Oryzias latipes: one gene and its partners. The protein of the gene in region 1 purifies or fractionates together with the protein of each later gene. This does not show direct contact. Links are inferred from orthologs where the notes say so. Each region holds a gene or a part of one and is shown in the gene's direction. Other genes may lie near its edges.

Evidence for each region.
Region 2: the proteins of nup43 (region 1) and sec13 purify together in Homo sapiens (affinity purification with mass spectrometry; 3 studies listed by BioGRID and IntAct, counting the BioPlex papers as one, with this or other methods). This does not show direct contact. The link is inferred for Oryzias latipes from reciprocal best matches to the Homo sapiens genes NUP43 and SEC13.
Region 3: the proteins of nup43 (region 1) and nup133 purify together in Homo sapiens (affinity purification with mass spectrometry; 5 studies listed by BioGRID and IntAct, counting the BioPlex papers as one, with this or other methods). This does not show direct contact. The link is inferred for Oryzias latipes from reciprocal best matches to the Homo sapiens genes NUP43 and NUP133.

Annotation. Positions count from the first base shown.
Region 1 is NC_019882.2:17,709,952-17,713,702, forward strand, and holds the start of nup43 (nucleoporin Nup43), read left to right. Parts: upstream 1-1,519; 5' UTR 1,520-1,637; coding exon 1,638-1,757; intron 1,758-1,938; coding exon 1,939-2,061; intron 2,062-2,977; coding exon 2,978-3,055; intron 3,056-3,138; coding exon 3,139-3,301; intron 3,302-3,371; coding exon 3,372-3,507; intron 3,508-3,602; coding exon 3,603-3,751. Other genes in the region: pcmt1 (protein-L-isoaspartate(D-aspartate) O-methyltransferase), read right to left, coding at 1,121-1,298. UniProt on the Homo sapiens protein: Component of the Nup107-160 subcomplex of the nuclear pore complex (NPC). The Nup107-160 subcomplex is required for the assembly of a functional NPC.
Region 2 is NC_019863.2:32,816,577-32,820,327, reverse strand, and holds the start of sec13 (protein SEC13 homolog), read left to right. Parts: upstream 1-1,541; 5' UTR 1,542-1,688; coding exon 1,689-1,691; intron 1,692-1,893; coding exon 1,894-1,938; intron 1,939-3,244; coding exon 3,245-3,360; intron 3,361-3,575; coding exon 3,576-3,727; intron 3,728-3,751. Other genes in the region: cullin-associated NEDD8-dissociated protein 1-like, read right to left, coding at 734-801. UniProt on the Homo sapiens protein: Functions as a component of the nuclear pore complex (NPC) and the COPII coat. At the endoplasmic reticulum, SEC13 is involved in the biogenesis of COPII-coated vesicles.
Region 3 is NC_019859.2:2,085,151-2,088,801, reverse strand, and holds part of nup133 (nuclear pore complex protein Nup133), read left to right. Parts: coding exon 1-117; intron 118-196; coding exon 197-319; intron 320-384; coding exon 385-484; intron 485-559; coding exon 560-823; intron 824-928; coding exon 929-1,062; intron 1,063-2,429; coding exon 2,430-2,588; intron 2,589-3,044; coding exon 3,045-3,180; intron 3,181-3,501; exon of another isoform or gene 3,502-3,651. UniProt on the Homo sapiens protein: Involved in poly(A)+ RNA transport. Involved in nephrogenesis.

The DNA of each region.
Region 1 (3,751 bases):
TACAATCAAAAGCTTTATTGTCACCAAGCAGAAAAAATGAACAATGAAGACTTAAATATTAAGAATGCACATGTAAAATATTAGCAAAATAAGATGATAAAACTCTTGAGCATTATTATATACAGTCCACATGATCACTTTTTTAACTGTACCTATTTGCATAAAGCCAATATAACCACAAAAGGTCCTTAACAAAAGCCTGCAGGGTTGAAAGGTTCAGCCAGAGGTGGCAGACTGATCAGCATGCCTTCTGCATGTGGTCTGCTTCAATCCAAATGAAGTGTGCTAGTCGGAAGCAAACATGTCTGGACTGAGATAAGCAGATATAGAGACTGATGCCCTCCTAAACACGCAGCTATGGGCAAAAAAGCGAGCAATGATACCCCTGACAGCACAGAGAGTATAAATAGAGCTGGCAAATACTTGACAGTGAATGTTGACGCACACTCAAGTCTGCAAATATCGTATTAAATTCACATATTAGCATTAAATAAGTTGATGTACTGGCTTAAAGGCTTATTATGAACAAAAAGGCTAAGTGTCAAAATGACATTACCATTTATTCCGAGTTGGACTTGGCACTAAGTCGCTCTTTCGATGTTGCTAGCTGCTATCGTGACACAGCAAATGTGAATTTCTGTCTCGTGCAACAGAAGGGTGGTTTCCAGAGTCGAGCTTTACGGTTTAAACTGTTCTCGTCAGTGAAATGACAGCGCAGTGGCCAGTGCAGACAGACATCAATGGATGTGGGCAGGGCACACAGCTAGCGCCGCTGCTAACGCTAGCTACATGCTCCTACATGACGCACATACATAGCTAGCTGGCCGGGCTAACATCACAATACACCCTAAATATTTAATGCAAATATTATGTAATTTGGGTGTTTAGTGCTTTTATTTTGATCTAAAATGACAGAAGCGCGCGCGTGTCCCACGGCGTAACGTGGTTTGGCAAAAAAAAAAAAAGGGGGTGGAGAAACTAGGGGCAACAGTGGTTAACAGTTTAAGCAACCAGCTAGCTACCGCACCTGCGCTAACAAGCACGCGCCCGAAAACAGTTTTCCAGCGTCGCGCGGGTGAATTGCTTGCCGATGCCACCTTAAAAACGCTACAAGACTCACTGCGAAGGTTGGTGACAAGTTCTGCGTGACTGGCTCCTCCAGATTTCCAGGCCATTATTAAGCAGACTTTGCGGAGTAAGTAGACAGCAGCTGTCAGTGCCGCGCCTGCGCCAACAGTTTTCCCGATGAAGCTCGCAACCTCGAGCGGAGACGGCGGAGCGGATACGTCACCAGACATCCAAATGATTTTATTACCGGGCCGCCTTTCACATACACTCCCTTTTAACAAAACACGTACAGTTTAATAAAATACAAACCCAATTAGATACGTACTGAGCCCAGTGTCAGTTTAAAGAGGGAATTCCTCTGTCTCTGCTTTATTGGAATTGTTGGGTAATAAAGAAGTCGGCCGCTAGGGGGAAACAGATTATCTATTAATTTAAAGAAGAATAGCACACTGTGATCTGGTCTTCTCGGGCCACCGTAGTTACGTATGAAGCAGCAGGCGCGTAGTTTCTCGTGTAGTCCGTAAACTGAAAACAACACTTCAAATTTTAACAAAAAGGCTTCAATTTCCATGGAGAGCATAAATGCCAAATATGTGTCTCAGAAAATCAGTAAGACGAGATGGTGTCCGGTTTCCTATTCTTCACTGCAACAACCAGAAGTCTTTGCTACGGGCTCGTGGGACAACGAGGTTAGCTAGTAGTACTACTACTAGCGCAAAACCACACAAATTATTAAGATCGCTTGCTAATTAACTCAATTTTTTTTATTAATTTAAATTATTTAAATACACTTTAAAAAATTGTTTTGATTCATTTGTCGTCGTGATTTAAATGTTCACTGAGTTTAATGTGAAACCCGTTGATTTATAGGACAACAAGGTGTCTATCTGGTCCATTGGAAATCACAACAATTCTGGATTAGAAGACGGATTTGAAGGAGACCCACAAATTTTATGTGAGCACAAACATGGCGGAGATGTTCTGGACCTGCAAGTAAGAAACCCAAAAGCTTCTAATGACGGAATCATCGGTGTTGATGTTTGATCTGTGGAGCCATTTCTTTATTTAGGCCTATAAACAAACTAAATGAAAAATAGAAATGAGCACAAAACCAAAACGAAATTTTAAATGTTCCCTTTTCTGTCATTAAAATTATTCAGCATGTCAAATAAGTGTCAGCAGTTATAAAGTCATAAAGATCCTTCAGAAGCTCACACCCAAATGTTTGATCAATTTGTGTAACTATTTGATTACATTTTTGTTCAATTCTTCTGGATTTTCCCACTTTATTATGTTGGATGGTTCACTCAGATATGTGTGTTTTTAACATGTTTTTGTAGCATTTTTCTCATCATGGAGGACAAAAGGATTTAAGCTTAGCACTGCATTTACGAGGACTTTTTTATTTAAATTGTAATGGATAAGGACCCGGTTTGCGATGCAGCAACTGCCATTGGCGGGCCAAAGTCTCCCTGTTCCGCACGCAGACAAATAGATCCACATCCGTCTTTGTTTTCCTTTGTCTGAGCTGGAATCTAAATCTAAACTGTACGGCAGGTTGTTTTTTTTTCTTGTGCTACGCTAATGTTAGATTGGGGTTGTGAGCGGCTGTTAGGTAGCAGGAAAGCGTGTAAACAAAGGAATGCTGGGAAATCATGGTAGGGTCACTTTCACGCTAACAGTCCCATCCACAACCCAGAAACAAATTTCTAATGAGCTTCTGTTGCTCTGCAGAAATTATGTCTTAAGGAACAACACAGGGTTTTTGATTTTTGCTAAAAACTGCATAATCATAATAAAAAAAACACTGGGAATGTTTTTACAATAGGTTTTAATTTTAAATGATTTTAAATGTGTACATTGTTTGGATAAAGTAATTTTTCTTGTTTTTCTTTGTTTCATGTTTTAGTTCTTGGACCAGGAACGGATGGTCTCAGCGTCATCAACGGGAGCAGTCACTATTTTCCGCTATCATCCAAACACTCATGTACGTTGTTTCTTTTCGGTTTTCTTGAGGAGAAAACAAAATGTCATGTTTAAAAACGGGTTTCCTTTTTGTTTCCTGAACAGACCATTTCAGTTCTGCAGCACTGGGCGAGGGCGCATAGCTACCCTTGTGACAACGCGCCCTGCACCGCCTTGGTCTGCAGCAGCCCGGAGATTGTCACTGTCGGGGAGGACGGCAGGATCGTGGTCTTCAGAGCCGACCAGGAAGGAGCGGTCCGGGTCATCGGTGAGATGAGGACTCGGATGTTACCGCCTCATCAGGAGTCGAGTCTAAAACTGTCCGTTGTGTTTGTTAGAGAATGCAGACAGCAGCACAATTCACGCGGTGACTTACCTGAAGACCACGGAGGTTTTGACGGTGAACTCCATTGGCCAGCTGAAGCTGTGGGACCTCAGGCAGCAAAGCAGCTCCCCATCGCAGATTCTGTCCCTGTAAGAGCTCTGAAATTTGATGTATTTATTATTTTTTTATGTATCTTTATCCTTTCAGAAACACACCTTTACTTGTTTGTCTTTTTTTCCACCAGGTCAGGAGACAGAGCTCCTCTGCACTGCGTTGACAGACATCCCAACCAGCAGCACATCGTAGCCACCGGGGGCCAGGACGGCATGCTCTGTGTGTGGGACGTGAGACAGGGGGGCACGCCCATCTCACTCATGGAGGCACACTCGGCTG
Region 2 (3,751 bases), on another chromosome or scaffold:
CTAAGCTATCTCCTCACAAAGATCTTACTGTGTCGTTTTCTAGTTATTATACATAAACATGTTTGTTTGACGGGACATATTGTAGATGCTGTCATTTTTTAAGTTGAATTGTGACTTTGGTGCATAGATTTAGGCCATGATTAGTCTAACGTTTTATTCTAAAAATACTGTAGAAGTTGTCAACTTTTGGAGATGCCGCCTCTTGTTTTCATATTCTTTATTGAAGCTTCAGTTGTGATTTGATTTTAATAATTGAAATAGTTTGGATTCAAAAGCGTGACATAAACAAATCTTTACAAAGAAATCAACTAAAACAGTTTTAAAGGTTTCGTTCTGTACACAAACACCTGAGTTTAGGATTCGCTTCTTGTTGTACTTCTAAAGTTTGTGTTCAAGTTTCATGATGTGTGTGTAATGAAACTTTTACTTTCACTTCTTTGTCATTTGAATTTTGCACTTTTTAAATGTTAGTAAACTAAATACATCTGCATTTTCAGCAAAATGTAAAAAAAGAACCTTTTAATAACTGTCTTTTCTCCTCTGAGTCTCTGATCAGATTTTAAATTAAAATGTTCATTACTTTAACATTCACTGCTTTATATTCATTACTCAGAGTGTCTTAAACAAACGTTTTGACAAAAGAAATATCTACAATCGAATGACGAGTCAGAGTAAAAAGGGTCTCACTGTCAGAGCTGATGAGCAGCTGATGAGCAGCTGTCTCTTACTTTACCTGAAGTCTTTGTCAGTGGAGGTCATTTTCTCCAACAGGTTGGAGATGTGGTAGGACACGTTAGACATGATGGTTCTTTAACAGCTGACACGGACGCCGATAAATGCTAAATCTGTAGGAAAGCAATGGAACTGGGGAACCAGATTCACCCTGACAACATGGCGAGGCTGGTGGGCAGAAAGCGGAGCTAACCTTAAACCTGACACCCCCAGGGTCAGCTAAAAATACAGCACACTTATTCTGGTTTATGTCTCCCTCGTGTGGACAAACCGAGCATTACAGCCGAGTTCGTTTTGAAATCCTAAACCATGGACTGTAAAGAGAAGTTTTACAGTCTCTGTTTGCCATGAATTTGTTTGAATAACATACAAGGTTGTTTTGTAAATAGATTGTTTTCTGATTTATAACTTTATTTTTTAATTGGCTTTCATGTGTGTGAGTATTGTCCCAAATAAATTTAGATTGTTTAATGTGAAAATATACCTTTTGTTATTTTACAGGAAGATGTTTTGACTCTTCTTTCGTTGCATCAACTTTTTTTTTTTTTTTTTTTTTTTTTTTTTCCTCTTTCGGCTTTTCCCATCAGGGGTCGCCACAGCGAACAAGTCGCATGGTAAACTTGGCAATGTTTTACGCCGGATGCCCTTCCTGACGCAACCTTCTCAAAGCAACCGGGCTTGGGACCGGCACAGATAGACAGAGAGACAGATAGACAGAGAAGGGAACAGGGAGCAGCCCTGTCGTTGCATCAACAGGCTTTGTAAATGTAATTTTGCGTTGTTGTCGTGTAGGCGGAACTTACGTTTCGATTGCGTCACTTCCGCCGGAAGCAAGTCTCGGGCTCTGGAAGCGGTCTGCGGTACTTGTTGCCACGTCGGAGTAGTTTGTAAACCCGGTCGATTCATTGCTAAGCGACCAGAAAACTGTTGAAGGGTTTTTGGGTTAAACAGCAGCGATGGTTGGTTAAAATACTTTATAAAAATGGTTTTAGCATTTCTTAAAAACATCTTTAAAGTTTACGTTTGCCTGCTAAGACTCACAGTTAGCTAGCTCCCGTTAGCCGAAATACTAGCTGACGCGTTAGCACTGCAGATAAAAACAATGATGGTTATTTTTTTTATGAACAGGTCAAATAAAATTCTGCTGTTTCTAATCTATAGGTCTCCGTTATTAACACCGTGGACACCTCCCACGAGGACATGATTGTAAGTGTTTGACCTCCCACTATGCTATCCGTGGATGGATAATTACATTGAATTTGTTTAATATTGTTTCACACGTTTATCCGTTCTTACAATTAAACTTTTACTGTGGTTTGATTACTCTATTTTGGGGCTGTATCGTTATCGTTTGGAACTAATCATTAATATTGATTTATAATTACATTTATCCTTAGGTTTGTTTGTGGGGGAAACGTGTTTTTTCTGTCTGTCTTGTTGTTTTCTTGAAGTTCATCTTGTTCTTTGTGCTTTAATCTCTTTAGAAGAAATGACCCACTTTTATCAGAAAGGCTGGATTTTATTGTGATACTTGTTCCTGAATGATACCCTTAATGATTTTAGAGGGAAACGTTTGCCTAACACATGATCATAGAGACGGGCTTCATTTTAAACGAACATACAAGAAAGACAAACATGTTATCAACCTATCAGAGGTCACAGTGTTCTAAAAGTACGAACACATAACTTTTTGTTGACGAGTCCAGGGACATGCTGTAAAGGTTCATGTGTGTTGTTGTGTGTCTCTGTGATGCACGGGTGAAGTGTCCTGGGTGAACCCTGATGGGATAGGCTCCAGCAACCCTGTAATCCTGAGCGGGATGGATGAATTCCCTTCAACATCAAAATGTTTCATTCTTGATAGCATTGAGGCAGTTGTCTGTTGCATAAAAGCATCTAAATCAACCTCCAGCCCCTGATTTCACTGATGTGAGGATCCTCAATTAAAAATGATTTGTTCTAGTATTAAAAGCGCTGTGCTGTATACACTTAAACACTAGACACGCCTGGCAGTTGCATCCCATCTGCATTCATGCATCTGTAAATCTTCAGGTGAGTTGGATGGGAAGTGATGGCGTGTCTAAATACTCACACGTGTTGAAAAGTTCTCTTCATGTCTTTATTCTGGTTTTAGGAGTTAAATTCTCAGAAATCTTCCCTTTATCCAAATGTAACGACCTGCCTTTCTGCAGTGTTTCTTTCTACCTACTAGTACTAAAGACCTTTGACCTTCACACGCCGATGATGTCACCCTTTCAGCTGGAAGACCACCGCTCTCTAGGTGGTTTTTAAACAGCCTCTTCCTGATCCAGAGGTGCTGTAGATTCAAACGGCTGACATGAAAGGTTTAGATCCAGGAGTTCTGGATTTGTGCCTTCATTTAGTGCCAGTATAATGATTGACATAACCAGCATACGTGTTTCCCTTTCAATCTCAAAATGTCCATTTGAAACATCAGACACATAGAAATGGTTTCACTGGCTGTGAACACATACATGTTTCTGTGTTTCAGCATGACGCTCAGATGGATTATTACGGGACGCGACTCGCCACATGCTCCTCTGACCGCACTGTCAAGATCTTTGATGTCAGGAACGGAGGACAGATTCTAGTGGCAGACCTCCGAGGGTGAGTCATCCTCAGAAAAGTCTTAGTTATCCTCTGTTAAATGCAGTAAAGAACAGCAGGTGGGTGTTCTCCAAGAAGAATAACTTCTAGTTTAATGTTCTTTATGCTGGTATAATACACGCTGACAAATATCGTGAAACACAAACGGCTTTCATCGTGAAAAGTTCATTTCTACTCTGAACTCGCGTGTGAGAGATTTTGTGTTCTTCGTTCAGCCATGAAGGGCCCGTCTGGCAGGTGGCGTGGGCCCACCCCATGTTTGGGAACATCCTGGCCTCCTGCTCCTACGACCGGAAGGTCATCGTCTGGAAGGAGGAGAACGGAGCTTGGGACAAGATGTACGAGTACACGGGACACGAGTCCTCAGGTCAGTAAGGGAATGTTTCCCCTC
Region 3 (3,651 bases), on another chromosome or scaffold:
AAGAACCACCACACCAAGCACGGCGAGCTGGTGAACCGGGCCATCAGCGCGGCCCTGCAGAGGAGCGGCACCTCCATCCCGCCCAGCCTCACTCCGGCCGACGTCTTCTTCAGAGAGGTGCCTGCCGCCGCCGCGTCGTCACTGTGAGGTTTGGCGGCGGGGCGGCTCCTTCATTGTTGTGTCGGCGCTTTCCCAGGTGTCTCAGATCTCCTCGGTGTTCGATTGCCTGCTGGAGGAGGAGGAGCGGAGTCTGAAGGAGTACCCGGTTGACTCTGTGCAGTGGGCTGAAGTGGTGCTGATAGTTAACAGCATCATCAAGGTAAACGTGGCGCCAAAGACCAAACGGGTGTTCCGTGCAGCCCGCTGATGCGTGTCTGTGTGCAGGACATGCTGCAGGCTGCGTGTCAGTATAGAAACACCAAGGCTTCCATGTACAGAGCCCCTGAAAGAGCTGCAGTGGAGCCGGAGTACATCCCCTGGACAGGTGAGTCCCTTTCAGTGTTGACCTCGTTTAACCCTGAGGAGCTGACGTTGGAAAAACACTTTTGTTTTTCTCCAGCGTCAGGCGGCATCGGAGGCGTCCGCTCCGTCATTTCCCGCCAGCACAACATCGTCCTGTCCTCGGTGTACCCGCACGCCGACTCCCAGCTGCGCAGCTCCCTCTGTGAGCAGCTGGTGGCGCTGTTGGACATCTACCTGAGCAGCTACGTGGCCCAGCTGACCTCCCTGCAGCAGCCGAGGCCCGCAGGAGCCCAGCAGGAGCGCTACAACAGCCTGGAGATGGAGTACAGCCAGCGCCGCTCCGAGCTGCTCTCCCCGCTGCGTGAGTCTCCGTGGAGGGGCGGCGTCCCGACATCGTGCACGCTCCTGTGAGACCGCCATGTTTTTATCAGACACAGTCAGCAGCTGACAGGATGCTGTGTTGCAGTGGAGCTGGGTCAGTACCAGTGGGTGGCAGCGCTGGCAGAGAAATACTGCGACTTTGACATCCTGGTCCAGATGTGCGAGCAGACCGACAACCAGAACCGCCTGCAGCACTACATGGCCAAGTTTGCAGATCAGGTACCTGAAAGGCGCTAATACTTCATGGTGTCTGATGGGATTTTTTTCTCACGTTTTCCTGATCTGAACCCCTTGAACACCAGAGCTTAAACTCCAGTGTCTATCGACGGCTGTATCTTTTCAAGCGTTTAGTTAATTCTGATTCTCCGCCTCGATTGTGAAGTGGAGAAAAGCGGCGAACGTAACGTGTTGCAAAACAGTGCAAACCGCTTTTCTCCGTTTCAGAATCCGCTGATTCGTGTCGATCACGTTAACAATCAATAAGTTACGATATGTCTCTGAACGTGTTTGACATCGCTGGTGTTTAAGGGAGAAACGTTTATTCAACTCATTTTTTTTGTTTTAGCACCCTCAAAGTATTACTGGTATATCTCTGCTGTTTGAGACCTATGTACATATTTTAAAAGGTTTTTAATGTTTTTCTCTTTGGGTTTACAGCCAAAAAAAAAAAACATGTTAAAATTTGTTAAAGAAAGAAAAAAGAGAATTCAGAATAATAAAAAATGCTTAAGGAAACTCAATAGTAAAAAAATATGTATAAAAAGGAAAGTTGACGAGAAGCTAAATTATCCTGAAAAAAAGCTTCATAAAAATATGCAGAATAATAAAATCTGAAAAGGAAACTAAAACAGAGATGGAACAGAAGGAAAAAGGTGTAGCTAATGTATAGAATAAATACATCCAGATTTAAAAAAGACTGAAATCTACAAATAAATGCCTAATAGGAAGAAAACAAAAGAAATACAAATCTCTTTTAAGCCTATTTATTATTAGATTGTATTTTTAAAATTCTAAATCTCTGTTTTTCTGCTACTCCACCTTTTTTTTAGGGTAATTTATCTTCTTATCAACTTTGGTTCGCAAAAGAGAAACCACATAAAAAAACAGTATTTTGAATTCTGTTTTTTATGCTTTTTATTATCATAAATTAGCATTTTTTTTGCTACAAACTCAAAGCCTCTGAAGCCTTTTTAACCCCTTCATACCTGAATTTATTTCCAGTCATGTAAAACAAATATTCTTCAGTCTGTTTTACATTCAAGGTGATGCTAAATTAGGCGGAGTCCAGGATTAAATGGTATAGAGAGAAACTGTGTGTGAAGAGGTTAAAAGGCCACAGCTAACAGGAGCATCCTTCTCAGCAGTTCCATCATATGGCTTAGTAAAAAAAAACAAATCCAATTTTTAAATTCCTTCTGGAGCTTCAACAGATTATTAATTTATCTGTTGCCATTTTTTGTAATTCTTTGCCAGAACTCAGGCAAAAGTTTCGGGAGCGACTTTGTCTCCTTGTTGCTTGAATGAAAGCTGAGCGTCCAACCGTCAGGACGCTTCATGAATCTTCTTCCTCCTCGTTTTCTTTGCAGAACTTTTCTGACTTTGTGTTTCGGTGGTACATGGAGAAGGGGAAGAGGGGGAAGCTGCTGTCCCAGCCGGCTGCGCAGCACCAGCAGCTGGCCAGCTTCCTGAAGTCCCACCAGCACCTGAGCTGGCTCCACAACGTCCACGTGCACGACTACCAGAGCGTACGCCACGTTTGCCCCCTCACACCCGCAGCTGCACGGCGACAGCAAGCACAGGACACTTTACTTCAGCTCAGCTCAGAATCACAGTTATCAGGAGATTTAGTCTGGAAATAAAGTAATTGGACCCTCTTAGTTAAAAGCACCAGGTCTGTCTTTAAATGAAAGAAGCATTAATTAAAAAACAAGAGTCAGTATCTGTAGAGGAACTTTACATCTGCAGACATTATTTTATGCCCTTATTGCTCCTTTAAGGTCCCACCATTCAAAACACTTTATTCCTGCTTTTTTTCAGTCGTCAATGTAGGATTTAAAATTTTACCTGCAAATAAAGTTTTTTTTATAGCACAAATGAAAAACGAATTAGACGTTTTCCTAATTACGTTGGGAAAGAAAGGGGTAAATATTTATCATTTGTAGGTTATTCCTCCATCCTAAACTGCTTCTACTGCCATGCAGGCCTTCAGGACGCTGTACAGCCAGGCCACCGCGGAGACGCGCTACTTTGTGAAGAAGAAGACGCTGCTGGCGCTCAGTAAGCTGACGGCGCTGGCCTCAGATCTGCCCGACGACCAGATCAACAAACAAGTGGACGGTAAACACAAGCAAACGACAAAAAACTGGATGGATGGATGGATGGATGGATGGATGGATGGATGGATGGATGGATGGTGTTTATGAAGAACATTGAATGTTTGTTTTTCATTATTTTGACTTCAAATAAAAACACAGATTTAAAATTTAATGCACTTAAGGAAGTTTGAACCAATTATTTAACTTAGTCAAGCATTTTCATGAAAGTTGCTTTAGAAAATAAATAAAATTAATTGAATTACATTTAATCTCGAACATCCAGTCAAAACAAATGGCATGAATAGATGATTATTGAGGAATAAAAACAAAATAAATGCACGTCTTCCTTCTTTCAAGATTTAATTGATGTTTGTGCAAAAGGAGGCACCAAAACTTTATTGTCTATTTAATGAACAGACAATAAAGTTTATTTAACGATCATTCATTCGTCTTTTCATCCTTTCTTTCATCTTTTTGTCTTTTATTCTTTCTC